Linked DNA regions of Ovis aries. The protein of the gene in region 2 interacts with the protein of the main gene of each other region in a biochemical or structural test. Links are inferred from orthologs where the notes say so. Each region holds a gene or a part of one and is shown on either strand. Other genes may lie near its edges. The genes, in order: AKT2 and SH3RF1.

Region 1 (15,890 bases), on a different chromosome or scaffold from region 2:
AGAGACTGGGCTTCTGATGGTGACAGGGCAGGTTGCCTGGGCCAGCCATAAAAAACCTCCTAGTAGGGACTTCCCTGGTGGCCAGTGGTTAAGAATCTGCCTTCCGATGTAGGGGGCGTGGGTTCGATCCCTGGTCCAGGAACTAAGATCCCACGTGCCGTGGGGTAAAGAAGCCCACCGCATGCTGCAACAACTGAGCCTGCACAGCACAACCAGAGAGACCACGCATTGGAACACAGACCCTGCATGATACAGTGCACGGCCCAACCAATGAATACTTTTTAAAAAAGATCCTCCTGGTAGCCCCAAATGGGGTGACTTCCACTCCACCCCATAAGAGCTGGGGGGGTGGGGTCTATGCTTGGCAGTGGTGGAGATGGCCATTGGCAAATGTACCCTCCTTGCTACATGAGTAATCAGGGGATACAAGCAGCAAGACTTAAGATTTCCCCCTTTCTTCATCCTAAGCAGAGCATTTTCAGAGGAGAAAGTCCATAGTATTGATCAGATTCTCAAAGAAGTCTGGCACTGTTAAAAAAAAAAAAAAAGTTTTTTATTTAAAAGACTTTCCCATGTTATACAGAAATGTTGAAATAATATCTTTGACTCCCCAACCAGAAGTTACTAAGCCCCACCCTAGGCACTACTGTGTCGGAAAGATCTTTTTAGAGTCATTTTAAGTGTTTTGGCAGTAGTACAGATGAGCCTCAGGGCTTCTGTAAATGTTGGTTCCAATTTCTTTTTTATAAAATGTTTTATCTTCAAAAATTCTAATGGAAGATACTATGAACCATGCACATTCAACTTTTGTGTTGTTTTGACCGCACCACACAGTATGTAGGATCTTAGTTCCCCGAGTAGGGATCAAACCCGAGTCCCCGGCAGTGGAAGTGCAGAGTCTTAATCACTGGACCTCCAGGGAAGTCCCGACACTCAACTTTTTAACACATCAGAGATTTCCCAAACGTCTGAGGTGAGGCTAAATGTGCTTTGCTGCAGACCTTGGGATGAAACTTTCTCTACTCTCAGTAAGGCTGAACGCCTTATTGGTCTGCTCTGACACACACATGGCTTTTCATATTGTGAAATAAAAGCTGAAGACCTCACCATTGTCTTCAGAGACCTGTGTGAGCCCCCCTGGCTGTCTGCCTAACTTGATCTCAAGCTTCTCTCGCCCTTTACCACCACATCCTAGACACACTAACCTTTTCTCTGCCCCACCAAAAAGACAAGCATGTTCCCACCTCAGGGCCTTTGCACTCGCTGTTCCTTTTACCTGGACTGGTCACCCTCCCGGATCCTGATCTTTGCAGGACTGACTTCTGTCTTTCAGAACTCAGTTCAAATCTCCTCTTTAGAGAGGCTTTCCCTGGTCACTCTGAATCCAAAAGAGCTATGCTGTCCCTCCTTTTCAGCATATTTGAATTCTCTACCTAGTGCTTAACACTAAAGAAGAAAATTTTTTTTTATTTTGTAACTGTCTTCCCCCAACACTGGAACATAAACTTGCCCATGAGGGCAAAGGCTTTGTCTTGGGCTGTATTCCCAGTGTCTAGAACATTGCCTACGCACCGGTTGAGACCTGGGGAATCAATAAATATTTGTTGACTGAATGTGGTTTTGATTAGGAAGGTTAAAGCTCTGTACTGGGGTGAATGTTACTTCATGTCTGAGCTTGTCTGCTCACAAAAAAAAAAAATTTGAACAAATAATAATAATCCATTAACCTTTATGGAAGAATTCTCATATATCAGGCACATGCTGGAAACTATATCCATGACCTGAATATGTTCCTGTGGGTAGAAGTCTCTGTAAGGCCTATTTTGCAGAAGTAAACATAGGCCCAGAGAGGGAAAGCCTCGGGAAAAATACCACATACCCGAATGTTGTGGCGCCCAGATCCATTCCCAAAGATGTCAGGCCAAGACCACACTTTTACCCATAGCATTGGACTTCACATGCATGGATCCAGATTTGAGACATGGCGAAACCTCATTTTCAATGCTAATTAAAGTATGTGGGTTTGAGTTACATAAATATTTAAAACATAGCTTCCCATATTATTAAGAAAAATTAAGATGATGTGAATATCACTGGATTTCTTTTTAGCTCATCAGGAAGGGACTCATTTCACAGCAGCCTAACAGGATGATTTATAAAACGCTATTCACGCTGCTGCCACCAGATGGCACCACGTGAGACGGCCATCCCCGCCGGAACCCAGCTGTCTGGCAGGCTTCAAGCCTTCCTGGAGAAAGTTGGACCTTCAGGCTGTTATGGAAACATTCACTGTTTGAAAGGAAACTCTGACAGGACACCTAAACGCAACACGTGATTGGAACTGGATTCTGAGCCAAGGAAAAAACATGGCAATAACGAACATTACAGGGACGGTTGATGAAACCAGAATATGAACTAGGGTTCAGATAAGAAGAGCACTGTATCCTTGTTAAATTTCTTGGTTTCGATAGTTGTACTGTGATTATGAAAGAAAATGTTCTTGTTCTTAGGAAATACACACTGAAGTATTGTCAGGTAAAGGGACATGATGTTCAAGTGAACTCTCAAATTGTTCAAAACCACAGTGTGTGTGTGTGTGTGTGTGTGTGTGTGGTGTCGGGGAGAAGAGAGAATGGAGCAAACAGTTGGCAAATCTGGCTGAAGAGAATATAGGAAGTACTTGTTCTATTCCTGCTACTTTGTTATAAATTTAGAATTAAAATAAGAGTAACTCCTAAAGCTCTTTTTTGTAGTCAATGATAATGTCATTAAGGGGTTCTTTCGGTGGTGGTGCTAAGGCTGATGCAGAAAATCATCAGTTTCAGAGACAGATGAGAAAACCACGCCATGCCAGGCACTGTTTGAGCCCTTCACAAGAACTGACTCATTTGGTCCTCACAATAAGATGCTGCCATTACTCTCACCTTAGTGAAGAGGAAACTCGAGCTCAGAGAGGTTGAGTAACTTGCCCAAGATCATACGGTTGCTGTTAATCAAAACAGCTCAAGCTCTAATCATAACAGACCATAAAGAAGGCCAAACAAGGGGACCTCCCTGGTGGTCCAGTGGTTAAGATTTTGGGCCTCCAATGCAGGGGGTGCTGGTTCAACCGCTGTTCGATGAACTAAAATCCCACAGGCCCCTCAGTGTAGCTGAAAAGTAAAAAAACAAACAAGATGGCCACCCAGCGACTGCCAGGATATGCTATGCTGGCGATTCAGGAACAAGCACTGAAATAAACATGAGGGAGCAGGAAAGGCAGCTCTGGGGGAAAACCTTGGGACAACGAACGTAGGTTTATGTGTTCATGGGCCTCTGCCTCAACCTGACATTCAAATCTATGTAAAAGTCAGCCTTGAATTACGCAAGGTTTAGCTGAAGTAAAACAGGGAAATAAAATGGCTGCTTGTTCTGATGTGCCTAAATCTGTTAGCTGGTAACACGGGAGGAGAAATTGAGAAATTAAGAGTATTCCTCAAACAAATCTGATGATATTTAATATTTACTTTTAAATACACAAATGGCATAAATTCAAACTTATAAAACATAGGTGCATTCCCTTTGCCCTTGCAATTTAGCACCTAGATATTTATCTTCTGGATATGTTCACGTATGAGCAAACCGTGGTGTGCGTAAGAGGTGCTGTTTGTGATAGAAAAAGACTCGGAAACCACCCAAATGTTCATGATAAGGGATTGGTTTCAAAGGTTCATCCACACAAGGGGATGCTATGCAGTTAGTTTAAAAGGAAGCCTCTTTCCAGTAAGGACATTAAAACATGTTTAAATCATTAGCCATCAGGGAAGTGCAAATCAAAAACCACAGTAATAAGATATCATTTGATACCCACTAGGATGGCAATGAGGAGCCACAGGAGACACGAGTTCGATCCCTGAGTCAGACGATCCCCTGGAGGTGGGCATGGCAACCCACTCCAGTATTCTTGCCTGGAGAATCCCAAGGACAGAAGAGCCTGGCAGGCTACAGTCCATGGGGTTGCAAAGAATCAGACATGACTGAGGCGACTTAGCACGCACACACACAGAACGGCAATAATCGAGAACACAGATACTAAAGTGTTGGCAAGAACACAGAGAAATTAGAACTCTCACACACTACTAGTAGGAAAGTAAAATGGTACAGCCACTTTAAACAGTCCGGCAATTCCTAAAATGGTTAAAAATAGAATTAACTTATGATCCAACAATTCTACTCCTAGGTATATACCGAAAAGAATTGAAAACATACGTCTACACAAAATTTGCACATAAATGCTCACAGCAGCATCATTCGTAATAGCCAAAAGGTAGAAACCACCATCAACGGACAAACAAAATGTGTTACACCCATACAACGTGATAAACTTCATCAGTAAAAAGAAACGAAGTACTGCAATGTGGATAAACCCTGAAGACATGCTAAGGGAGAGAAATCAGACACAAAAAGCCACATATTGCATGAACCCATTTCTATAAAGTACCCCCAAGCGGCAAGTCTCTGTGGACAGCCAATTAGCAGTTGCCAAGGGCTTGGAGCAGCGGCGGAGGGGGCAGAGCATGGTAGGACTTGGGGACTGATGCTTAAGGAGTGTGGGTGTTTCTTTCCAGGATAATGAAAATACTCTAAAATTATGGTGTGTGTGCGCGTGCTCAGTCGCATCTGATTCTTTGGGACGCTATGACTGTAGTCCCCCAGGCTTCTCTGTCCATGGGATTCTCCAGGCAAGAATACTAGAGTGGGTTGCCGTTCCCTTCTCCAGGGGATCTTCCCAACCCAGGGGTGGAACCCACACCTCCTACATCTCCTGCACTGGCAGGCGAATTCTTTACCACTGAGTCACCTGAGAAACCCAAAATTATGGTGATGGACACACAGTTCTATGAACAAGAGTCACTGAAATACGCGCTTTAAATGGGTGAATTGTCTCATATGTAAATTATATCTCAATAAAATGTTTTTTTAAGTTCTTTATGTACTGATTGCAATGGTCTCCAGGATATAAAGCATTAATAATAAAAAAAAGCAAAGTATAAAACTATCATATATGCTACCATCTGAGTGGGAAAAAAATATAGTTATGTTTGTAAATGAAATGTTTCTGGAAGGACACATAAGACCCCAGTAATACTGATGGCTTCTGGAGAGGAAAACTGGATGGCTGAGGGATCTAGAGTAAGAGAGAGAATTGTTATTTTTTAATTGCTCTCAGGTACCCAGAGAGTATTAACACAATGGGCACCTGGGTGCCCACAGCTTTAAAACCACTACCATACTGCTGGACCCTATGCACACCCCTCCAATCACAATCCATCCCACCCCAGAACGGGTCTACTATCCTTCACTTGGAATTTATCATCCCCATGCATTGCCTACATTTACTACACTCTTAAGTATCTGTAACCAATACACATTATTTTGCTTTTTTGGTTGGTGTTGGCTGTGCAGCTTGTGGGATCTCAGTTCCTTGACCAGGGACTGAACCCAGGCCATAGCAGTGAGAGCCTAGAATCCTAACCACTAGGCCACCAGTGAACTCCCTATTTCGCATATCTTTAAACTACACATATTCTTCTGTAGTTTGCTTTCACCACTCAATGTTTTGCTTTATTCATATTGATACGCACAACTTTAGTTTTCATCGAAGTATAATATCCACACTCAATACATAGTACATCCAGGATTGACGTGTAATTTTTCAAGATGATCTCTCATCCCTCTTCTTACAATGAGACACTGCCTTTCCTGTCTTGACAGCCACAGCCTGTGGTCCCTCTTGAATCTGGGCAGGCTAGTGACTGTGGCAGAAGTGAAGCAAGGTGACTTCCAATGCTAGGTTAGAAAAGGCAATACACTTTTCCCTGACTCTTGAGAAGAGTGCACTTTGAATCCAGCTGCCATGTTGTAACAAAGCCCAGGTCACATGGAGGAGCCACATGCAGGCATCCTGGCTGACAGCCCACGCTGAGATTTTCCCTCAGTACCAGTAATGGCTAACCACCAGACAACTGAAGAATTTCAAGGGGACACTGGCCCCAGCCAAGATCTTATACCAAGCACATGAGAGCCCCAAGTAACAACAGTCTAATTGAGCATAGTCAACCCCCCAGAACCACAGGAAATGATTACTGATTTAAGCCACTAAGTTTTGAGGTGATCCACTATGCATTAGGTAACTAGAATATGCTACAATCTGCCTATTCTCCAGCTGATGCATATCTGGGTGGTTTCTAAGTTTATGCTACTACAACAGTGATCTTAGGAACATTCTGATACTTGCCCTGGATGCATGTGTGAATTTCTCCAGAATGGTAACTGGTAGATTGGCGAATATGTCATCTTCAATTACGCTACAACATATCAAACTGTTTTCCAAAATGCTGATGCCAACTTACATTCCAACAGCAGTCTACGCACTACTACTATCCCACATCTTCCCCAACACTTGCGACTTTAATCTTTTTGCCAGCCCACTGGGCACAAGAGTCTTATTGTATACATCCTTTTGTACCTTTGAATTTTGTGTTGTTTGCATGAATTAATGCAAAATAATCTGATAAATGTATGCTAATAAATGACTGCTTTTCTGTTTTAAACATGTTTTAAATATTGGGGTTCTATACTAAAATTACTTTGTGTTTTGGCCACGCCACGTGTCTCTCATTATGAAGCTGCCTAGCCCAGGCTCATCTCCACAGGGGTGGCTACAGGGTTCCCAGAAGCAGCATAAACAGGCAGGCTCCACATGTGCAAAGACCTCTTAAGCCTAATTAACTTAGCAAAGCACATACTTTGTACTTCCTGGCACCTGGGTGGTGGTCTGCATTACCTCTTCACATCCCGATCCCCTTGCTCCAGTGGCCTCCAATTAGACGAGCCTAACGGCTCTTAATTCCTTTCTGGAATGGGGTGATACATGTGTAAGTAAATCATCTGAAGAGTGCCAAGACTTTGCAGGAGAACCTTACTGGGATGCGCTGTTGACCCAGCATCAGTGTTTGCACTGAAGTGGTGTCATTGGAGTTCTTCCAATTCACCCCTGAACCAAACCCACCTTTCCCCACAGCAGCACTCCTATAATAACAAGGACTGGAAACAACCCGAATTCCCTTGCCTAAAGGACTGGTTGAGTAAGCCAGGCCATTAACATGTGTGTGCACATCTGTGTGTACTGTGTCCCTCTGGCTATATGTATGCATGCACATGTGTGTGTGTGTACACACACAGACAGGCACATCTCTGGAAGGGTGATCCAAGATAATGGTAACACTGGTGGCCTCTGAGGAGGGGGCTTGGGAAGAGACTTTTCACTGCGAAGCCTTTGTATCTTGGCACTGTACACTAGATATATGTATTCTTTTGGGTTAGCCAAAAATTTCATTCAGGTTTTTCTGTGAGATGTTTATGGAAAAGCCAAATGAACTTTTTGGCCAACCCAATACTTATACTCGAAAAAGTTTCAGAGAACCAGAGGAAAAAATAACACACCCCTGTGGGCCACAGCTGTTGGGGCCGGCTTGGGAGGATCACCGAAGCAAATGGGTGGGACGCTGGAGTGGCTGGGAGGCTGAGGGGTCCGGCTCCACCCTGTCAGGCAGGCGGTGGCAGGGTGGGCATGACCCTCAAAGCCCACAGCCTTCCGGAGCTGCAAGTGCTCCCTGGGGTAAGTAACGGGGCAGTGTGTACACACAAGCAACTCAAGGACACCTGAAACCACTCTCCCAGGACCCTGCCCTCCCCTTTATAAAGGGGGGCCCTGGTTCCGATCTGCAGCTGAGGCACCACAGGCAGGGGCTGAGGGGCGAGGCGCCCGCTCACCTCCCAACGTCACACCCAGCGCTGCCACCCGCCAGCTGTCTGTCCCCCTTCGCACCTCTGTCAGGAGCAACAGTGACTCGACTTACCTCACAGCAGGTAAGCTTGTCATGATAAGTGACACGTTTTTATATCATTTTAGTTCCTATTATGCATTCAGAAATACCCTGTGCTCTTAAATTTAGTAACTGGAACCCTGCCAGGCAACCCTGGCAGTTGCTGAAGTTATCCATGAAGTGGAACTCAAGGAAATCACTAGGAGGGTTTTTAAAGAAAAAAAGAAGTGAAGAACCAACCGCAAGGAAAGTGTCTCTGTGTGTGAGCGCCTCCTTGTGGCCCTGACACAAATGGGCGGCCTCTGGGATCTTGACACCACTATCATTTGCTGTCCTTCTGAGGTCAGCAACCTCAACCAGCCCCACGAGGGTTTGGCCTGGGCCCTCACCACGAGATGGGGTCTATGGCTGCTCTATCACTGCCCCTCATACTGAAGTCTGGCCCGCACACCGCAGGCCCAGCGCGTGGGACCCTGCCTGACGTGCAGCAGCCTCCCAGCATGACGGCACCGACTAACTAAAAATAAACGGATGATCATTTATGAAGACAAAAACAGGTCTGAAGATGGATGACGGTTATACAACAGTATGAATATGCTTAGTGCCACTGAAGAGGACACGTTAAGAACAGTTCAAATGGTCAGTGTTGTGTTGAAATGGAAAATGGAAAAAAATGGAAAAAAAAAACCAATGGGAAAAAAAAAAAGGATGCCGTCTAACCTCACCTTTACCTGCTCTCAGCTCTTCTCCTAACTCCCTGACCACTCCTTGGTAATCTCCTTATCAGAGACTATTCTCGAGGTGGGAAAAGCACCCCCACTCCCTTCTGGGTCCCCTCCTCTCTCTAGGCTCTTCTCCGGCTGGTATCACCAGGCCCGCGGCTGTGAACATGCCTGTGCCGAGCCTTCCCCGCAGACTGCTCACCTCTCAGTCAACCCGGTGAAACCTGAGCGCCCTCCCACCCCACCTAGTGCTACAAAACAGCACGCTCCTCTGGATGCTCAAGTCCCCCATCCAGGCATGACCCAGCCCCTTGTCTTTTCCCAAATTCCAGCCCATCTGCAGGGAGAATCCTGCTGCCCCTCTTGAGGCACCCCCAAAGTCCACCCCTGCCTCTCCTCCCCCTCCCACCACTTCCCCTCAGGCTGCCTCCCTGCCTCCATCCCACCCGCCCGACAACTCACAGTGGCCCCAGCAACCTTCATACAAGGCAACTCAGATCACCACTTGTTAGCCTCAAACCCTCCCAAACTCAACGCTCTCAGGAAGGGGTTCAAATTCCTTAGGCCCGGCACTCACTCACTCAGTCACCAGCCACGCTGGTCTCCTCCGTGTCCCCTCGTCCCACTTCAGGGCCTTGGCCTTGCCTGTTTGCCCTGGTTGAGCACTCTCCTCCTGAACTTCATGTAAACCACCCTACAGGTCACCTCCTCTGAAAGGCCTTCTTGCCCCAAACATCTAGAGAGACCCTGATCACGGGCGCTCAGCCTTCCTTCCAACTCTGAGCAGTGTGATCACTTTCCGCTTGTCTCCCTGGCTGGTGAGGGCAGCCATGCAGACAGGGACGGGCCTGCTTGGCTCACAGATAGACCCCAGCCCTTAGAACGGGCCTGGCAGACACAAGTACCACACAGCAGTGAGAGGGTGAAGAACCCAGTCCACAGGAGCCCACAGCCTCACAATGGAGCTGCAATCTGGAAAACCCCTCACAGGCAACCTGGCAGAAATGGGGGAAACCTATGACGAGGAGGGCAGACAGACAGAGGCCCTGCGGGAGCCCAGAGCAGGAGGAGGTGGCCCAAGTGGATGACGACAGGGACTTACTCCCTTCACCTCAGAGCTGGCAGCAAAATCACGGCCTACAGGTGTGCAGGGAGCTGCCCAGCTCTCCACAGGTGCCCCACCCACTCTGTGCTGCATGTAAAAAGCAATCCTGCAACTCACCCTGAAGGAGGGGAGGGAAACAGTCTGAAAGTCACAAAAATATATTAAAATAGCTGTTTTCTTCTCTCGGTGTTGGCTTCCCACCTCCGTGCCCCTTACCCGCCGCCCGCCAGACTTTCAGGGAGAAAAGAGGCCCGGGCGGGTGCCCTGGCTACAGCCCGGGGTCTGGGGAGGTCCCTCCAGCCTGGGAGTGAGGGCGGCTAACAGTCTCTACTGGCTCGACGCCACCGCCGACGAGGGCGCCGCTGGGAGGCCGGAGGTGCAGGAGGGTCAGGCAGGACGCAGCGGACAGTCGGGCCTTGCCACGGGGACAGAAAACAGAAAAGAAATGAACAGAGTGAAGATCGGGAGAGAGTAGGGGAGGGCAAAGCAGTGGGTGGGGCAGAGGCAGGCGGGCAAGGAAGTCCCGGGGTGGGGGACACAGAAGCCCCTTCGGGTGCACCCTCTCTGGGGGACAGGGAGGCCCCAGAATGTGGGTTTGAGGCAGCAGATGCTGCTGGGAGAGAGAAAGGGCATGGAGGGGAGGAGAAGGGTCCTTGGCATCGGGAGAGGTAAAGAGGGGGTCCTGCCAAGGCCACAGTCAAGAGGCAAGAGCAGAGGACGGGAAGGAAGGGAAGCCCCAGAGCGGCAAGGCCAGGCCACGGTGACCCTCTCAGATTCAGAACACCCAGGTGGCTCCCCGGAAAGCTCAGGCCAGCGGGAACACCTGAGGGGGCGACAAGTCGTCCGGAAGCCAGCAGGGAGGGGTGACGTGCCCTCGCTGAAGACTGATGGAGCCGGGAGTCAGGAGAGGGGCCTGCGCCCCGCCCATGGGCTAGAAGGTCCTCCGGCCCAGTCTTTTGAATACGCTCACGGTGCCCGCGTGGTCCATCTGGGCACCCAGGCCCTCGCTGGAGCTGCTCCCCCGGGGCCCCACCAGAGTCCTCTTAATGGTGACCTTGACCTCAGCTGAGGACTTACTCTTGGTGCTGGTGACCTGGCTGTCCTGAGCCTCAGGCACGAGGGCGGGCTTGCCCAGTCTCTGGATGATGCTGACTTTGGACAGGGCCTCCGGCTTCCTCTCGGGCGCCGGGCGCGAGGAGAGGGCCAGGCGCCGCAGCGTGGGGGCGGCAGCGGCCGGCGCCGAGCTCGTCGCCTTGGCCTTGACAGTCAGCGCAGGCTGCGGGCTGGCCTTGGCGGGGGTGCGGCCCAGCCTCTTCAGGACCCCAGCGTACTGCAGGACGGAGCTGCTGCTGCTGTCGTTGTCGCTGTCCCAAGCCAGATCCTCGTCCGTCTCGGGCGTGGCCCCCAGGCGGCTGAAGACTCCGGTGGGCTGTGGGGGTCACAGACAGGACAGGTGAGCCACCGAGCCACTCGCCCTGTAATCACAGAGCTGCCTCATCCGTGCCTGGCCTCGTGGGGCTCGCACTTGGGAAGCGCACCCCTCGCTGACACACTCGATAGTAGTGAGAGCCAGGAAAGGGCAAGTCCAGGGAACCGGGGGAGCCCAGAGGAGACCACTCCCTGCCAAAGTTAGGGGAAGGCACCCTGGAGAAGGGACCTCTAGGATGAGACCTGAGAGCTGAGTGGATGTGAGTCAAATAAAGAGCAGGAGGGAGAGGGGAGGTGAAAGGAAAAACTGTCTGCTAAGGTCTATAGAGGACCCACAGAGAAGAGGCGAATTTGGTCAATCACTCCACAAATAATCTGAGTTCCAGCTCAATATCTGGCCTGTATTGGGCAGTGCTGGGGACTCAGTGCTGACCAAGACGGGCCCCTGCCCCACTCACAGGGGGCTTACGGTCCAGCAGGGAAGACAGAGCCGGCATCGGACCTCACACAAGTAATTCTCCAGTAATGACAGCACTGTGTGCTTGGGAGGGTGGGCATGGGGCGGGGGCAGTGGAGAGCTGTGGACAGCGAAGCCTCGTCTCTTCGCTGAGTTCAGGGACACTTTCTCTGAGGCTTTGCTGTTTAAGCAGAGTAAAGTGCACCCTCAAAGTCCCCCAGGCATGAGTAAGAGTCATATTTATGGGGTACTTGCCCAGCTCTTTCCACGGCCCCATCTTTAAGCCAGGTTATCCTGAGCATTACAATCACGCTCATGATAAGATTTAGGAAATGAGAAAAAAGCCAGAGTGGGTGAGCCCCGGTGAGCAAGCAAGGAAAGGCAGCTGGCAAACTTGACCAGCCTGAATCTGAGGCGCCATTTCAAGACGCTCACCAGGGACTTCCCTGGCGGTCCAGCAGTTAAGACTGTGCTTCCACTGCTGAGGGCGTTGGTTCAAGCCCTGGTAGGGAAACTTCCATGTGCTGCTCAGCGCGGCCGAAAAAAAAAAAGATGCCGACCAGGCACCAGACAGACCCCACCACACATGTATACCTCATGAGTCCTCACGACTACCCTGTGAGGCAGGGACTATACAGAGGAGGAAACTGAGGTGAAATGGTCGAGGCCATGAAGCCAGGCAATGGCAGAGCAGGATTCATGCCAGGCAACAGGCTCAGGCTGCATCTCCTAACCACATGCCACGCCTGGAGCCTGCGGGACCGCAAGTGGAGGCAAGAAGATCAGGCTACCTCCTGGGCTGGTGAAAAGCCTCTAAGGGTTTACAGTGGGCGAGGAGGGCAGAAGGGGCCTGTCCTGTGGGTCGTAGGCACTGCTGCTGTGAGGGAGGGGCTGGAGGGCTTTCCCTGGAGCTGCACAGACACCAGCTAGGAGGCCACTGCCCATCCCAACAGGACGAGGCTGCAGACAGGAGACAGATGGAGCCCCCAAGACAGGAGGAGGACGTGCTTTGGAGGAAGATTCGAGGCCAGTTAGGGGACATGCTGGTGGGCGGGGTCCCAGGACACTGTCCAGGGGTCCGCCAGAGCCCTGGGGCTATAAATCGGGAGAGAGATCGGGGTAGCAGACAGACAGGGAGCCGGACTTGAAAGGTACATGAGACCGGGTGAGGGGTGTGCAGGAAGCGCCAGGAATGACACTCAGGGAAGACCAAGCTTTGAGAGTCCCCAGGGGCTCCCCCACTTCCCACTCACTTTATTCCCCGTTGTGGTATCTGCCTTGGTCTCAGCGCCGAGGCGGTCAAACACAGATGTCCTGTGGAGACCTGGGAGGGAAGTGAGGTTGTTAGCCTATGCCTGGGGGGTGGCCCCTGCAGGCCTAAGCCGGGCTGAGCACTGAACAGACAGGGAGGGGTCATCACGGCCCGCCCAGACCCCAGGAAGCTCTGGTCCAAGCAGGCGCACACTGGACGGAGTCAGGTTTTATGTCTGTGCTGTCCGCTAACACTGACCTTAACCCCCACACTTCTGGTCAACGTCAAATGTGAGAGGATCAATTAAAATGGACACTTCTCCTCACTTCTTGGTACCAATTCAAGAAGTGTATGTGCAGGAAGAGTTCTCAATCCCTACTGCTTCCTTTCCCTCTTTTGGGGGCCTTGGGCCTCTAAGAGAATCGGATAAATGGTAATACCCTCCCTAAATAACAGTTTGAAGAGCCATCAACAGAAGAATGTTTACTAGATTACGATACAGAAGTATTATGGAAACACTGAACAGCCATCAAGAAGAATGAAGCAGATCCATGTGCACTAACGTGAAAAGAGCTCAATAAAACCTTATACAACAATACCTGCAGGATGAGACTATTTGTGCTTAAAAAGAAAAAAAAGCTGAGATGCATGTAAACACACAGACAGATGTCTGGAAAGGTTCGCAGTACACGTGGGATACAAGTTTGTTTTCACTGCCTCTGCATCCACTGAATATTTTTCCATGAGAATATACACAATGTTCTGACAGAATGCAGGGCTTCAGCAGGAGTTAAAAATCCACCTGCCAATGCAGGAGACAGAAGACACGAGGGTTCGATTCCTGGGTCAGGAAGATCCGCTGGAGAAGGAAATGGCAATCAGCTCCAGTATCTTGCCTGGAAAATTTCAGGGACAGAGGAGCCTGGTGGGCCACAGTCCATGGGGTCGCAAGGAGTCAGACACAACTGAGCACAAAAGGAACACTTAAAGAAGAGCATCCTCATACCGCCGGATAAACGCTAGCTCTGGCCTGAATCTCAACCTGACCCCGCTGGCTCACCACGATGGTTCCTACTGTTTGGGGCACTGTCCTCAGCCAGGCCCGGTCACGGACTTAGCAGGCAGACCAGCACTGGATCCGTGCCACCGTCCGCCGAGGGAGAGACGCCCACTGAGGCACCGAGGATCCCTGCTATGCTAACTGCAGGACAAGAAGGCAGAGGTGGTGATGCGCCCCTCTCTACTATGGCCACCATTGCTGTCCCTGGGTCCAAAGCCCCCTGGATCCCCATCAGAGCCTGCTTCGGGGCCAACACCTGTAGAACGTGACCAACCCTGCAAGACGCAGCAAAAGGGAAACACAGTCTCTGCCCCTCCCCAGGCCAGTACCTTTTGCTGCCTGTTGCTGCTCCAGGATCTTCCGGGTCCGCGGGGTAGTGCCTTTGGGCATGTTGATAATGTACTTCCCCTCCATCTCGGCGGTGACCCGGCGCCGCTTGGTGGGAACACTCAGGCTCTCCTCCTCTCGGCGGGCCAGGGCTGCTGGGGGAGGGGGTGGTGGTGAGCATCTTCTGAAAGGGAATGTCCACTCGGGGTGGGGGGCTGGACGCCCTGCAAAGGGCACTCACGTGCCCTTTATCTCCATGCGTTCCCATGACCAGAATCCCTTCTCTTCCCAACCTCCCCTATGGGCATTGACTGATCCGCCAAGAAAGTCAGGGGCCTGGGCCCAGTGGGGTTGCAGAAGGCTATGGCTGGCCTCCCGGGCTCTCTGTGGCTCTGACCCACCCCCCAGTAGGCTCGCCTCCCAGGCCAGCCAGAATACTCTCAGATGGGAAACTGCTGGGTGGTGGACAGGCCATCGAGGTAATGGCTTCACAGGTATGATCATTTGTTAAAAATCATTCAAGCTATGTACTTACAATGTGTGCCTTGTGCAAAAGTAAATTACAACTCACAAAAATAAACAGAATCTCCTCTACTGTGCTGAAGGGAAAGGAACCATCCATCCCAGGCCCCGCATCTTTTCACTACTTTAGGAATGAATCTTAACTTTCTCGCTCATGTCCCACAAACTGAACAATCAGGAGGAGGAGGAGGAGGCGCTTCCAGACACATGTGGCCCAAAGGGAGCACCTGTCATGGAGGTGGACGGGGCGTGACGGGGCTGGGCGCCATCCTGGGCCTTGCTTTCCATGTGGGCCAAGACCACTGGGCTGTGGGGGTGGACTCAACAAAGGCAGAAGCATGTGACGGACAGAAGGCGGGCTTGGAAGCCCAAAGGCCGTGCCCCACTCCCAGCTCACAAGCTGAGACCAGGAAGAGCAGCGGCCAAGCATAGAAGAGTCTACACAGGAAGAGGACCCTGGGAGAAGGGAATATTGGGGCAAAGGCCCCATGATGGGAAGGACCCTGGAGGGGAATGGAGGCAGCAGGCAAGACATGAATCCACAGGGCCCAGCAAGGCCATGTGGGAAGATGACTTTACTAATGGAACAATAGGAAGCCCTGGAGAGTTCTAGACAAGGGTGGAAAAGGATCAGATGGAAAGTTTTAAAGAATCCCTCTGGTGGCTAAGAGGAAAGGTAGCTTCTTTACCTTTGACCCCAGGCATCAAGCACAGGGCCGGGCACCAGTGCGGGGCTCAGTGACCATCTGTTAAAAAAGACTGAACCACCCACAGTCAACAACACTGTTCTGCACACGTAAAGTTTCATGAAGTAGGCAGATCTCACGTTGTGTTCTCACCACAATAAAATAAAAATTACACAGACTGAACTGGCCCCTGCATGAGAACTGCAACGGGTCCACGATGCTCACAGACACCATCTCAAGGGCTTCCAACCGTCCGCGGAGGAGGGTAGCGCCAGCCCTCTTCGACAGACGTGGAAGGCGAGGCCCCCAGAGAGGCCGTGACCTGACCGAGTCTGAACACTGTGCACACCCCATGGCCTGCACAGCAGCGTCAAGAACACGTCCCCCAGATGCCGTCTGCCAACCCGCAGCGGCCTCCAGCTCCTCCCACCCCCTGCCCACATCCCCTCACCGGCAGCCTTGG
Region 2 (15,274 bases):
TTCCTGTTGTCACTCTCATCTGTAGATGAATCCCATCTCATACTAGACTGATATTAGACAGTAAAAATATTTCTGTGGAACTCTAGAAGGAAAAATTCTACCAGAAGAGCCCCACGCTCTCGCACTTTGCGGGGGCAGGAGTCGTGACATTTAGACTCTGGTGAATCGAGGATGCTAAGATCCTGAAATGCTTCTTAAATTAGACTGATGTGAAAGCTAACCTTCCCTGCATTTTTAGTATGAAGTGCTTCTTCTTTCTTAGGTTGAAATTTTTTTAATTCCAAAAGGGGTAATCCCTAAAATACATCCTTGGAAGTTTTTGAGTAACCAAAAAATTTCCTTCCCAGTGGATAACAGGATAATAGACTGTTTTCCTATGCTACTTGCTTCCATACATTTTTCCGATTGTGTCTATAGTCAGGCAGACCTAAGAAGCTGAGTTAGACACATAGCATCACCATCAATCACTGTAGGATGGCAAAAAGGCTGTGAGAAGCTGGCAAGGTTGGCTGTTAGACTCGATATTCCACTGAGCACGTGGATTATAAAAATATAAACGCGGGGCAGAAATTCTCTCCAAAGACCACTTTCCCACTTGTAAAAATGGAAATGCTTCCACAAAATACCAGGCAGAGGATCCCAGCGTGCCCTGCCCACGTGTAAACCCGCCTGCTCCTTGTCTGGAGGGGCAGCTGCCTGCGGCCCCTCCTGTTGAGATGCTCTAGACTGTGGGAGCCTTCTGTAAGCAAGGAGCCCCTCTGTGAGCAAGGCTGGGGTGCAAAAGCTTGGAGACTGGCACACCTGGCCTCTGGAAAGAGCCAGTGCTGGGGGCAGGGTCAGGGAGAGGTGGCGGCGCTGGCCAGAGCCTGGCGGGGCGGGGGTGGGGGGCTCTGGTACAGTGAAGCAGCCCCCCAGGCAGACACAGGAACCCCACCAATGACAGGAGAGCGAGCAGGCTCAGCTCACAGAGGGACCTGCACTCAGCATCGGGGGCCAAGACTGCCTCTGTGGCCCAGAGAGAGTAAATGAGTCACTGGACTGGGTCCAGGAGCAGAGGCACCCTCCCTGGAGAGCCAAGAGACACCGCAGGAAAAGGCAAGACTCTTGGAATGAAGGGGGACGTGAACTTGGGGCAAAACCTCAAAGCTTTACTGAGAGTCCAGTGGATGAGGGGAAAGACAGAATGGTTTCATGGGTGAGGCAGAAACACTTTAGGGTAATGTCTCATTTCAAAACTGGTTTTAGAAGGGTCAGAGCTACACACAATTATCTCATGCCCCCATAAAAGTACACAGCGAATGGTGTACTTTGTATTTAAGGCACATAGATTGTTTGATTAATTCTTTCCCGAGTTACTTCTGGATAATAAAGTAAGCCCCCCAAACTGTCTGAGTGCAGGCCTCAGGTTTCAGTGGGTATTTCATCTGAAATTCAGAGTTCAGGTGGATTTACTTCATTGTAAAGTATAACTCTTTACAGCAAGATCCTGAATCATTAACAGAAAATACTGCCCCAAAGGCGACACTTCCACAGATGAGAAACATGCTCTGTGTCAGACGCAGGGACACGGGGACTCGAGCCTGCAGAGACAGATGGCACCTCCTCCAGGAAATGCTTACATACTCATGCTGAGGTTACGGGAAAACAGTCCTCTAGTTTCAGAGTGCTTCAGGCCATCTTCCAGGCAGCAGACCATGCTGCGCTTTTAATTCATATCATCCAAGCAAGTTTTTGTTTTTGTTTTTTTTTGCTCTTGGATCAGCTTTATTTTTTTCCTAGCAGGTTTCTGTTTTATTAAGTAGATTTTCTTTCCTAACATGCTCCAAGAGCCCCAGCAGCGAAACAGACAGGACAGCTCCCATTTGTAAAGGTGACTCGAGGCCACAGTCACTGAACGGGGCTCACTGTTCTGCGGGTAACGGAGCCCCGTCAGCGGGTCAGCAGGGGTCGGGCCAGGAGAACCCTGCCACACTCTGGCTCAGGAAGAAGCTGAAGAGAACTCGGGGGACGGAACACTCCAGGTGCCCTACAACTAGCAGGCAGTGGTGTTCATAAACCTTCGATAAAAAGGGCTGAAGATGAAATGAGGGTGGCTGGCTGGCCGTGAACGAGGAGCCAGGAGAAGGCAGGGACCAGGGCTGCCGTGAGCACTGCCCCATAGAGGAGAGCTCTGGAGACATGATGGAAAGGGGTGAGGATGTAGAGGGGACCGCAGAGATGGAGCGCGTCACCCAAGGGGCACAGGAGCCAGCGCCGGCTGTCACCGCAGACCCCAGGAAGGAGCCGGAGATGCCGCGGGTGCCACAGACCTGGCAGCTCCCAGCGCCAATGACAAGAACCCACCTCTCGCACACGGCGGGCCGCACCTCACTGGCTGTGGGGCCCAGGGACGAGCAGGGTTGCCGGGGGGGTGGCGCCACTGGGGCCGAGTCCAGGGAGCAGGACCTGCGCTGGGGGCCGGGGGCCACGGCGTCCCCATCGCAGGGCCCGGGGCAGGCGCAGGGGGGCCCCGGGGGCCCGCAGGACAGCTCGGCCCCCAGCTCAGCATCCAGCGTGGGTGAGGCCGGCGGTGATCCCCGCGGCTTGCGCTTGGTGGAGGCCCCGGACAGCAGCTTCAACAGCCCCTTTTTCTCTTTCTAAGAAAAAAAAAAAAGTGCATGGGTTGGAGACATGGTTCTGCTGGTAGAGTTTCAAGTTCAGATTTGAGCTTTCCAAGGGACCCCTGAGGGTGTCTGGGACTCCTGGTCTGGCTCCTGGGGCTGTGCGCTCAATGCCCTTCCCCTCTCCGCACAACCCCCACCCACCTGCGCATCTTCCCTGGTTCTGGACACTCAAGTGCTCATCACCAACCTCCATGGAGGTGGGATGAGCAGATAAAAAGGATGGGAAACCAAAATCCCACCAATTCACTTCCCAGGCTTGGTGAAGGCAAAGTAGACACTTTAGGACAAAATGGAAATTTCAGACAATAGCTTTAATTTCCTGAAATTCTGCCTGTTCTATACTCAACTAATAGACCTGCAGCTTATCCCTTATAGGGGATGATGTCTTGATCAGGGTGAAGGGCTAAGTCATTTTCACTCATCACTGTTGATGAAATTTAACAAACCGATAATAACAGAAGTCAAACCATATCTGTTGTGCAAATACTTCTTTAATTAAAAAAACAAAGTCGTGTCCAACTCTTTACGGCCCCATGGACTATAGCCAGGATCCTCTGTCCATGGGATTCTCCAAGCAAGAATACTGGAGTGGGTTGCCATTACCTTCTCCAGGGGATATTCCCCACCAGGGATCAAATCTACATCTCCTATATTTCAGGCAGATTCTTTACCAAAAACAACTACAAAATTAAGAAAAAAAAGCCCATCAGTATAATGAAAACATTTTGCGTCTCTTTTTGCAAGCAAGTGTCTAAATGAGAATTACTCCCATCAGCCTCACGCCATAGAAGCCACCTCATGGGTCTTGGTCTCCTGGGGTCTTTTCCTTGTGGTCTTGCTCTGCTAGGAACCCAGATCCAGGGCTGGCTCTTCTCTGTGCCCAGACCCCAAGTGTCAATATTCTTCTGATGCCCAAAGTAATAACAGCCATCATTTTAAATTGCTTTACTAATGTGTCAACTGGGTCATCAAGTCCTCTGACTGAAAACACAGTCCGAAAATACAACAGTTGAGAGAAATAACCCTTTAGAATGCTTCCTAGGCAAACTGGGACTAGTAAGATCCACTAACAGGGAAGGAGAACTATAAGCAGCCCTCAAGGAGAGAGAACACCGAGGAATTCTTCCTGAATACTGACTTAGTTCCCACTCAGTCAAATATCCTTTGGGCGCGGTGGCGGGGGGTGGGGGGATCCGTAACAGCAGAGCTCAGTGAGAGACAGTCTGGCCGACGGAAATAAAGGTAAGCATTGATCAGACGATCAACCATCCCAGGCGGTCTGCACCACGGGCCCCATTTACCTAGCGTGGCCCACAGCACTGCTAACCTGCAGGGCAGGGATTCTCCCCGTAAAGGTCATTACAGAACACCGAGCAGAGGTCCCCGAGCTACACATTCGGCCCTTGTTAGTCATCCATTTATACAGTAGTGTGCGTATATCAATCCCAATCTGCCTCTCCCTCTCTTACCTCCTGTTAACCATGTTTGTTTCCTACATCTGCGACTCTACTCTGTTTTGTAAATAAGTTTGCTTGTGCCCTTTTTCTTTTTATATCCCACACATGAGCAATATTATATGGTATTTGTCTCTCTGTGTCCGCCGTACTTCACGCAGTGTAACAATCTCTGGGTCCATCCATGTTGCTGCAAACGGCATTATTTTGCTCTTCCTTATGACTGTGTACATGTCCCACACCTCCTTGGCCCACTCCTATGCTGACGGATACTTAGGCTGTTTCCACATCTTGGCTGCTGTAAACAGTGCTGCTGTGAACAATGGGGTGCACGTATCTTTCTGAATTATGGTTTCCTCTGGGTATATGCCCAGAAATGGGACTGCTGGGTCACACGGTTACTCTATTTTTCAGTTTTTAAGGATCCTCCACACTGTTCTCTGCACTAGTCATCATATTTACATTCCCATAACAGGGTACAAGCGTTCCCTTTTCTTCACAGCCACTCCAGCCTTCTCATTTGTAGACTTTTTGATGATGGCCATTCTGACCAGTGTGAAGTGATATTGATACCTCACTGTAGTTTTGATTTGTACTTCTCTAATAATTAGTGAGAATTGATCTTAAAAGTTACAAGAAAATATATGCATGGCCTGAAATTCAGAAGGAAATCCTGAAGCTTCAAGAGCAGTGGGTGGGCTCTCCAGAAAGAAGCTCCAAGCACACACTGTAAATCACTCCAGCAGGTGAAGGTGCAGAAGCTCCCAGTGATGAAGGCACTTGTGTGATGCCCCAGGAAGTGATGATGATGCCCCAGGAAGTGATGATGATGCCCCAGGAAGTGATGATGATGCCCCAGGAAGTGATGATGATGCCCCAGGAAGTGACAGAAAGGCCTCCACAAAAAGATCAGGAGAAGGGCCCCCAAGAAGAACATACCACGGCTGTGGCAAGTCAAGATGCTGAAGGCCAGAATGAACTTAAACTTACAAAAATGCGAATGACCAAAAAAAGTGGGGGTAGGGTGTGTGCTGCTTTAAAGTTTTGTTGGGAACAAGAAAGACATGGATCTGGTGCCTGGGGTGGATGGTGGTCCTCAGACGCATGAAGAGTCCCTTCCAGACTAGACAGGAAGAACAAACCTTGGTAGGAGGGAAACGGGGGAGCAACTGGGATTCAGAGATGAAACCACTCCTCCCAACAGGCTGATCCACCCCGGCGGACTGAGGAAATTAACAGCTGGAACACAACTGATCTCTGACAGATCCTGGTGAACCTGGGACCAAGGTCGACTCAACATGCCAAAGAAAGGCTTGTGTGGTGCTCATTTTCACAGATGACCACAACAGTGCTTGCAGACCACCTGGGAAATCCTAAAACAGGGTATCTGACGAAAGGCTGACTCAGAAAAGGAAGTGAGACCAAGGAAGTCTCCTACACGAGATGCGGGCTCACAGGTTACAGCAGAAATGGTGAGGCGACTGGGGGACTGGATGGGAGAATGAGAGACAGCTGGATCTCATCCAGGCATCCGCCAAGCTCTCTCTGCGTGTCCTGGCAAGAGGACAGAGTGATGGGGGTGAAGTGATGCTCCTTGCACTAATCATGGGTCACTGAGTTTACAGCCATTAGGGACAACCTCTTTAATGAACTGGGAACATTAAATGAGGTGGCAGATTTAGAAAGGGAAATTAGAAACCTGTGACATGAAGAATATGGGGGGGAAAGCCCTCAAGAGTGAAGCCTTTAAGAAAAGATGATAACCCTGAACTCCCTGCAGGGATCACATAGAAAGGAGACCATCATTTTCTATGCAGTCCCTCAAAGCACAGCGAGAGGGTCTGAAGTCACAGGGAGACAGGTGTGTGCTGACTGAGCTTTCCAGGAGTTCGAGCTGCCCGAAGACAGTGTTGACGCTCCGCAACAGGACACAGGGACCACAGGGCATCCTAGCAGGGGCCAGTGGCCACTTGTCAGGAGGGGGACTGAGCGGGGCAAACAGGTCACTGCTCTCTGCTTCTGGTGTCATCTCCCTCTGGCCCTGATCTTCCTTCCTCCCTCTTCCTTCCTCCCCCTTAAGGAGATCCCTTTGCTTATTATATTGGGCTCACTCAGCTAATCCACTCATCTTTAAACCTTTAATTGAATCACATCTGTAAGACCCCTGCTGCAACGTAAGGAAATGTATTCTCAAATTTCAGGGATCAGGACATGGGGGCTGTTATTCTCCCTAGCACAGGCTTCCTGCAGATTGCATGAATCCTTCCTTCGGAGGCCTGGGCTCCAGAGCCTGATGCTCTGAGACAATGGCCCCTGATGCCTTATCCTGGAACCTTCAGATCTAAGCTGTAAAGTAAGTTTACTTTCTGAAGATCCTGGCAGGGTGGACCGCATGAGCTTCAGTACAAGTTTAATGTAGTTAATCATAAACATTGAACTGATACTGATCTTTTGCAAAAGCACTCATGTTAACTCAACAATTAAATATTAACTTCTTAGTAGGCTACATTTATTTCCTTATAAAGCCCTGCTCACAGGCTCCCTGGTCATTTAAAGAGCGACGTACATGACTGTGAAAGCAGGTGTGACCCCACAGCTGCCCAGAGCCGGCAAGCGGTCCGGGGGGGGGCACGCGTGAGCACGGAGTGGAAGTCACGCCTGCAGCACGATCACCAGAGTCTGCTGCAGGCTGCTCTTTCTGTGCACGTTTCACCACCACACACGCCTCTGTCTACAACCCAGCCACAGGTCAGTCTTTCAAACATAGCTTCCCACTTACAATTTCTTTGAAATTCAGGCCCAAAGGATCTTTTTTTTTTTTTAATAAAAAATATCAAATTAGAAATTAATTTCCCCCTATATCTCAAGTCAAGAGAAAAACTATCCACATCCACACAAATTATAGTCAAACACAGTGCAGGAGCAATGAATCCACCAGCAACACTTTGGATCTACAGTTCCAGCTCCTTCATATCCTAAGTGCATTTCTGCAGAACAGTTAACTAGAAGCAAAGCTCACTCACCGGGAGGAGTTCAGGGCAGCGAGGGGGTAGGGGAGTGAGCGGCTAGGGGACAAGCCCCAGAGCTGAATGGAACCCCACCTCCCCGCACCCCAAGTGGGTCAGCAGCTGCTGGGGCTCACCTTGCCGTCCTTGTCTGGCCTGGCTGCCGAGCCGCTGTCAGGAGAGGTGGGTGTCCCTGGGAGCAGGGTCAGAGGGCGGCCGCTGGGCTCGGGCTCCAGGGAGGCAGCAGGGATGCTCGCTGGGGCTGTGGTGCAGGCCAGGGGGCCTCCGACCCGGCCCAGGCCACTGGCAGCCGCGTGGGCAGGGGGGCCCAGTGGGGCAGGGGGCTGTGGCGACGCCAGGGGGTGGTGGGACTGCCCCGGGGTGCTCTGAACCTGGATGGGTGTCACGGCTGCTGTGGGACGCTCCTGGCTGTGCGCTGAGACTGGACAAGGGAAGAGAGGAGGAAAGCATGAGTGGAGCCTCGCTGCTCACTGAGCCCTGCGCGTGTCAGTGATGAGAAACCGTGGCAGTTTAGACACTCTGACCCTCGAGGGGCCCCTGGACATCATCCCTCCCTGATCCCAGGCAGCGCCCCGCTCGGTCCCGTGACACAGGGTCTGCTGCCACGCCTGCCGAGTGACAGCACGGCCACAGCACCAGGGGTGCAGGAGCCCCCCGGGCTCTGGCCGAGGCGCCACCCCCACGCGCCCAGCTGGGCAGAGCAGCCTGGCCCCAGTGCCGCTTCCTATTCTCCCTCTTCTCGGAACCTGCCTTCCTGCTCTGGATTTCCGGATAGAGCTGAACATGTTTTCTCTACCACTGTTAACCAAGACCCCTGGGAGGTTTTAAACGCTTCAGGAAGAAGAAAGCTACTTAAGGTCTGACTGTGTCTGAAACAGAGCAGTGACTAAGCTCATCCCAGCACCCGGACGGCAGTCTGCGGGCTGCGCCTCCGCAGCAGTGGGACCCCAGATGGCTGGTCTCGACCACAGAAGTCACATTTTCAAGGACTATCGACATTCTCAGGACCCGCCTGGTAACAGTTTCTTTCAGACCCGTGGTCTGGAGACCAGGCTTGGACTCACAAGCTGGGCAGGCGAAGCCAGATGAAGCCGATGTAAAGTGATGGTGCTGAGACTGTGCTGGCCCCTCTTCCTGTTATTCAGTGTCTTCTTCCACCTCCCTCAGCAGATTGCCTTGAAGTTCCACCTTGCTCTCTCAGACTGTCCTAAAGTGCCACCTTCCTCTGTCAGACTGTCCTAAAGTTCCACCTTGCTCTCTCAGACTGTCCTAAAGTTCCACCTTGTTCTCTCAGACTCTCTTAAGGTTCCACCTTGTTCTGTCAGTTCAGTTCAGTTCAGTTCAATCGCTCAGTCGTGTCCGACCCTTTGTGACCCATGAATCACAGCACGCCAGGCCTCCCTGTCCATCACCATCTCCCGGAGTTCACTCAGACTCAGGTCCATTGAGTCCGTGATGCCTTGCTCTGTCAGACTGTCTTAAAGTTCCACCTTGCTCTCTCAAACTATCTTAAAGTCCCACCTTGCTCTGTCAGACTGTCTTAAAAGTTCCATCTTGCTCTCTCAGACTGTCTTAAAGTTCCACCATCCTCAGACTGTCTTCACATCCTCACAGCCTCTGGTGTACAAGGTCTGAGGCTGCTCAGGCCCCTCTCCCAGGGCCTCGGCCCAGCGCCCACCTGTCCTTGCAGCGCTCCGGGCCTGGTTGACAGTCATCTGTCCGGACACATGCAGCAGGACCTTAGCCTGGGGGCTCGTCTGGACGTGAGCTGCCGACACCACGGCTGTGGGGACCCCGGGACCGCCAGCCACGCCGTTCCCCGGGGGCTTCTGGGCAGGCCCGCCTGCAGGGGGAGGGTTGGCCGGGACCCCTCCGCGACTTGCTGGGCCAGTCGTCAGCATGGGGACTTTGCCTTGGGAAGCGCTGGTCACGGCCCTGCTGAGACAGAAACCCAGTCCGTCAGCAAGAGGGAGAGAGGACGACCAACGCCAAAGAAAATGGTGCAGAGCCTCAAGACGTAACCCTGTAGAACGCGGTTATCGGAGCAAAGGTAAGAGCAACGCACTCAAGGAACAGCGGCCCCGAGGCAGAGAAAGCTCCGGAAGCCTCTTCTGAGGGGAGAGGTCGCACAGCACTCTGCTGGTGACATGGCTCCTCGGCTCGGCTCCCCTCCGGGGGTAACTCTCGCCCGGGCTTCCTCTCGGCCTGTCAGAGCGACATCTAGGCTGTCACAGCTGGGCTCACGTGCGCCTTCTCTGTACCTGCCCGTGTACACGCGCGAGTGCACGCACATACTTGTCACGTCCCTCGGGCTCCCTCCACCCTGCCTCCCCCTCACCTGCGTTTCAATTCTGTCATCCCAAGCAGCCTGGCCTTAGGCCCGGGACCTCGCGACTCTCCTCTGTTTCAGGTGGATTTCCTCTATGACCCTTGATTACAAAACACGATGTGGAGTCCTATCAGTCAATTCCCAGTGAAATGCTCCTGACTCAGTACAGGTTTCCTGACAGCAGGGCCACGTGCAGCGGTTGCTTCCCACCCTTCCTGCGTGCGCAGTCACAGCAGCACAGCTGGCCCGCAACAAGTATTTACCGGCTGAATTTCACTCCATTCGGTTCAGTGCGGCTTTATGTAACGTACTTTTTAATATTCTAAATTCATTTAAACGACAGTTCTATAGATAGAAACTTTCTACCAAGCAGAAGGCTTCATTAACTCAAACCTCATTATTTACCATGAGGAATATCAGAGAATTTTCCATCAGGAAGCGTCTCTCCAGAGACTTTTGATAGTTTGTATTTGAGTCTTAGGAAAATGTTTTCTTCAGAAAGTCGACATGTGGTTGTTGCTTGGTTTATCTCCCTTAGTTATTGTGGTTTTTGTTTGTTTGTTTTATCCCCCCAGGGAAGACAGAGCTACCGTCTTCTGGGCTGTGAATGTGGATTTTAGCATATACCAACAAGAACGTTCACACTGATGAAAAATCTGCAAGTCTAATTGGAGCTAGTGTTCTGTTGCCATCTGCAATGACAGTGATCTTCATTGGATTAGGCTGCCAGCCAGCCTGAGGATTGCGACCGACATCTGACAGCATGTCAGTTCGTTCAGCCACTTATTCAAAATCAGGGGCTTTGAGAAATGATTTAACACAAATAGGTTGGACCGTTTATTAAGAGCCCACTGGCCAAAACCCGGGGTTTTCTCAGCACTGACCCCATCATAGGTCATCACGATCATTCCAGGGCAAGCTTCCTCAGTGCCCAGAACGGGGACTATATTTAAATACAGTGAACAGTGCATATCAACACATCCCAAGTGCTTGCCTCCTACTATCCTAGAACAGGTTTCTCAGCCTCGGTGACACTTGGGGCCAGACAGCTCCCTTCTGTGAAGGCTGTGCCGTGCCCTGCAGGGTGCTGTATGCATCCCTGGTTTCTATACACTGGCGGCGAGTAGCACCTGCTCCCCCATCGTGACCATCAGAAGCATGTCCAGACACTGCAAAAATCCCCTGGGGAGCAAAACCGCCCTCCCCTGAGAAGGGTGAGGGACTCACGTCATGTTAAAGGAGTTTCAGTTCTGATTGCATTATAAAAAGCAATTTTGAGAATTCAGACATAATCCCCAAGCTATGGGAATACACACCTGGCTTTCAGCACCTCCTCACTGGGTGACCTCAAATTGGTTAACCTCTCCACCTCAACCTGCTCACCTGTTGAGTGGGGTTCATAACAGCACATACACCAGGGAGCTGTTTGAGGACCTGGCATTAACGTGCAGAACAGAGAACTCTGAGTGCCAGGTGTCAGGTAAGCATCACATAACCAAGAGGATTAATAACATCACTTGTGCTTATATTAAACAGCACTAATTTCCTAGCAGAAAAATACTGAAAACAGTGTAGTAGAGTCTTCTCACATGTGACTTAAAAGCAAATAATTTAAAACCGGCACCTGTATTGGAAGAAACTTACAATTTCACACGTGAAGAGTAAGCTAAAATCTTGAGGATTAGAAGGGACTTTGGCAAATACAGGCAGGGACCTCTACAATGCCGGCTGTGTAACACAGAACTGTAACATGAGAAGGAACTGTGGATAGGCTGGAAATCATGGGAAAGGACAAAGCTTCTGTGTTCAGGGCTCAGCAAGCCACTTGCTCAGAGCCATACCTCGTGACGGGGGCCACGTAATTGCCAGGAAAAACCCCAATCTTGCTGGTGTGCATGGACGTCCCCTTGAACCAGCCGTCCTGGCAGCGCTCGAACACGAGAAACATCTCTCCCTTCCTCAGCTCCAGCTCATCCTCTTTCCGGGGAGTGTAAGGATAAATGGCGACATACCTAGAAGAGGAAAAAACATCGGACTTCAAGGTGAGTAACAGACGTACCCCACGATGTGCAGGACTCTTCTGTGGCACGAAGCCTTGAATGTTTTGTACAAAAAAAACCAGAAAGTAGAATCCTTTAATCTGTGGGCAGCCTCGATCACTGTCCACTGAACGGCAGCCATCCACTCTGAAAAGGCAGAAGCCGCCTGACTCAGAACCTCCCACCTGGCCCTCCTGGTGCAAAGGTGATGATCCCGCCAAACGGTACTCGTGGGTGTGGAGGAATTGATGCCAGCCCCCGGCATGCACACCTGCAGCAGGGCATCAGATGCCCGCTGGGAAACTGGGCCTGCAGATGGCCCTGGTGAGACCTGGGAAGCAGCCTTGTTGAGGACATGTGGTCCAAAATCCCGCCGGGAAGCTTGGCACACAGCCTCTCCGCGCACACTGAACCAGCAACGGGCGGCACCTGCATCCGTGGGCTCAGTTGGGGTAGACGCTGAACTTGCGAGTCAGAGGCAAAGCAAGTCCAGATCACGGACAGAGCCCAACAGCCCATCTGCACAGGTGACAGCCACCGACACAAGGAGAGTGGCGGCAACGTGAGCAGGCACCAAGTGTTTCCTGGGTCAGTGTGCACGGAGGGGCCTCCGCCCGCAGGCTGCACTGAGCCACGAGCAGAATGAATGGAGTAACCTGACTCTGGACGCTCACTGCAGGCACCGCCGCACCTCCTCTAGGTCTGACCTGCGCGGGGCCTCCCTGTCCCCTCGCTCCCTTACTTGGGGATGAAGGTGGGAACGAAGCCCGGGTAGCACTCGCGGAGGAAGGCCAAGAAGGCCCAGCCTTAGAGTACGAGCTTCCTAATCACAAACACAGTGGCACCAGTCTGGCACCAGCTCCCCCCAGAAAGCTGTTCTCTGCCTCTCTACTTGGGTTCGGTCCAGGGGCAGAAAGGACCCCCACACTTACACGCTGGGGCGGGGCTGTGGCCGCGGGTGTGTGGTCTGGTCCGTGGGTCCAGCTGTGGGCCTGGGGCCCAGCCCGGCAGCAGCAGCTACAGCAGTGCCCGTGGGGGTGGCCGCCTGGAGAGGGGGCGGGGGGAGAGGAGGATTCAGAGTCTGGAGAGAGAAAGAAAAAGAAGGAACAGATGACTTATTTACATCTCTTCCAGTAAGTGGAAGGGAAAAGGAATCAGAAACCCATTAAAAAAAAAGACATCGGTGGCATCTACACAGAGCAGCAGCTACATGCTATACCCAAGCCTCCTTTAAGACTCCTCTCTATCCTCCTTCAAGGTCTTAGGGCCACAGAAACCTTTCTAGCAAACAGGTAAGTAACCACAACTGGGAGGAGGGAAAGAACAAAAATTACAAGATTGCGTGCAATTTCAAGATTAATGGCACTTCTAAGCACAAACTAGGATCAGGATCCAAATGCCTCCCAAGGGGCAGCTCTGACAGCACAGGGCTTGCTGGGGATGAATTTGTGACTGTTTCTGCAACCCGAAGCTTCAACATAGTAGCAGACAGTCCAGCTGCACTGTACACCATGCCCACAGAAGAAAACCTCGACGTCACGCCCAAGAAGAAAATCTCCTCGGACATCTGGGCTTCTCAAACCACAAACAACAGTGAGCCACGACTGCAGGGCCATGCTGGCTGCTTCTGTGTACTCCTTTCTTGTCAGCTCTGCCAGCTTTTTAAGCTCAGGACTATCAAGGCTGGTAATCTTTAACAAGTACCCCGCAAGCAGCTGCCGGTCCCTCGACAGGCTCTGCCCACAGGACTCCACACCTTTTCAGAATCAATGGAGCGCCTGCTACTTTCTAATCTACACAGCCCAGATCATTCTTTAGGGTCTGGATACTGAGCAAACAGGCACACACAGACTCGCCTGAACCCCCACCTTGCCCAGCTGCCCCAAATCTCTGAACCACTCAATGTAAAACTGCATCAAGGGAGAAATAAGGAGGCTAAAGACTGCAACTTGGGCAGGGAATGTGGTATCTCCATGTCAGAATAACGGAAGAAAAACCCCATGGTTTCTGAACACGGAGAACACCAATGGCTTTCTGTCGTCCGGGAAAAAAATCTGACACTTCATTAGCAGTTACTTCATCGGCCTGTTAAGTTACACGGTTCCAGAAACACTGCAGGAGAGAAGAACCTCAAGTTCCCAGCTGCACACTGCAACTGTCGAGCACATTGTGTTCCATTTTCCCACAGCGGAGACTTTCCCCACGCTGCGGCCCAGGCAGCACAGACTCACTGATAGCGCTCCCAGGGCGGGCAAGGCCAGCTGGACAGTCGCACAACAGGCTGCGCTGCGACTCCAGGTGGGCACACACGGGGCCTGGAGCCCTCATGACCCTTAACGAGGAAAAGGCTGAGCACCTGAGCTGCTGGTCTCAGGACAAGGTGGGAGAAACAAAGCTAACCCCGGTAGGAGCCTTGGCGCACGTGACCCAGGTGGGCCCGCTGGGCCGCCGCACACAGCGGCACAGGAGCGCCTGAGGTCACCACTGAGCCGTCTCCTCTGTGTCTCTCCAGGCCCCACCTCATAGCTGTGTGGCTGTGGAGGCGCAGGTGACAAGTCACAAAGGAACTCAGGCCACCCACCCCTGGAAGGACTCAGAGTCAAGGGCCCACTCGGCTCTGAGAATTCCACTGGCAGAGGCAAGAGAGGGAACCTGCACCTTCATGTCAGCAGAGCCTGTACTCACTGGCTCTAGACAGAAGAAGGCAAAAAAAGAGAAGGAAATCTATAGGCCTGATAAAAACATAGGCCACACTATGTTAACAAAATGTAAGAAAAGGTCACGAGAGTCGGACCATAAAGAAAGCTGAGTGCAGACGAACTGATGTTTTCCAACTGTGGTGCTGAAGAAGGGAGTCCCTTTGACTGCAAGGAGATCAAACCAGACAATCCTCAAGGAAATCAACCCCTGAATATTCATTGGAAGGACTGACGCTGAAGCTCCAATACTTTGGCCACCAGATGTGAGGAGCTGACTCACTGGAAAAGACCCTGATAGTGGGAAAGACTGAAGGCAGGCTGAGAAGGCGGCAGACAATGAGCTGGCTGGATGGCATCATCAACTCAGTGGACAGGAATTTGAGCAAACTGTGGGAGATGGTGAAGGACAGGGAAGCCCCTGTAATCCACGGGGTCACAAAGAGTGGGACGCGACTGAGTGACTGAACCGAACTGAAGAAAAGGTCATCTCCCATAGTTAGTAAGTGCAGAAAGGAAATGGTTGGTGTGCATGAATTTTATAAAGCGTAAGTTAGACTCGCTCGACATCTGGCACACCCCAGCACTGGGCTGTGTGTCTTCGGGAGAACACGCACGTGTGTGTGTGTGAGTATGTTGGAGGGTAAGCACACAGAGCAGACATCCTAACTGGATTCCATGACGTGGCCGTCCTGTGAGGCTGGTCAGATGCCAGGGCCCGGGCACGGCCAGGGCTGGGCTGGCCAGCAGGCCCCACGGGTGCTGGTGAACAGCCCACACTGAAAGGCCCCAGGGACGGAGATGCCTGGGAGGAGCCTGCTGCGAGCCGTCCCGCGGGAGCCACAGCCTCCCCCTCGCTGGGGCCATCTGCAGCTGGCCTGCTTTCACTGAGCGCTGCGGAAGGGCTGAGGCTGTGGCCGGGCCTCCGAGATCTGACACAGGGGATTGGCTGTGGCCTCGTGGTCGCTGAGATGAGGTTCTGCTTGTACTTCTGCAGATCCAGACCCTCTGCTACCGGCACTGGTGTTCGGACACCATGAGGATGTTCCCTAAAATCAGGGCTCGGG

The links.
Region 1: the proteins of SH3RF1 (region 2) and AKT2 form a complex in vitro, tested with the Homo sapiens proteins (2 studies listed by BioGRID and IntAct, with this or other methods). The link is inferred for Ovis aries from reciprocal best matches to the Homo sapiens genes SH3RF1 and AKT2.

The regions. Positions count from the first base shown.
Region 1 is NC_056067.1:49,093,413-49,109,302, forward strand, and holds the start of AKT2 (RAC-beta serine/threonine-protein kinase), read right to left. Parts: upstream 10,627-15,890; 5' UTR 10,111-10,626; coding exon of another isoform or gene 10,013-10,110; 5' UTR 1-10,012. Other genes in the region: C14H19orf47 (uncharacterized protein C19orf47 homolog), read right to left, coding at 10,627-11,124, 12,834-12,904, 14,222-14,374, 15,879-15,890. UniProt on the Homo sapiens protein: Serine/threonine kinase closely related to AKT1 and AKT3. All 3 enzymes, AKT1, AKT2 and AKT3, are collectively known as AKT kinase.
Region 2 is NC_056055.1:111,873,114-111,888,387, reverse strand, and holds part of SH3RF1 (E3 ubiquitin-protein ligase SH3RF1), read right to left. Parts: intron 12,593-15,274; coding exon 12,444-12,592; intron 11,485-12,443; coding exon 11,314-11,484; intron 9,082-11,313; coding exon 8,822-9,081; intron 7,565-8,821; coding exon 7,260-7,564; intron 2,637-7,259; coding exon 2,344-2,636; intron 1-2,343. UniProt on the Homo sapiens protein: Has E3 ubiquitin-protein ligase activity. In the absence of an external substrate, it can catalyze self-ubiquitination. Stimulates ubiquitination of potassium channel KCNJ1, enhancing it's dynamin-dependent and clathrin-independent endocytosis.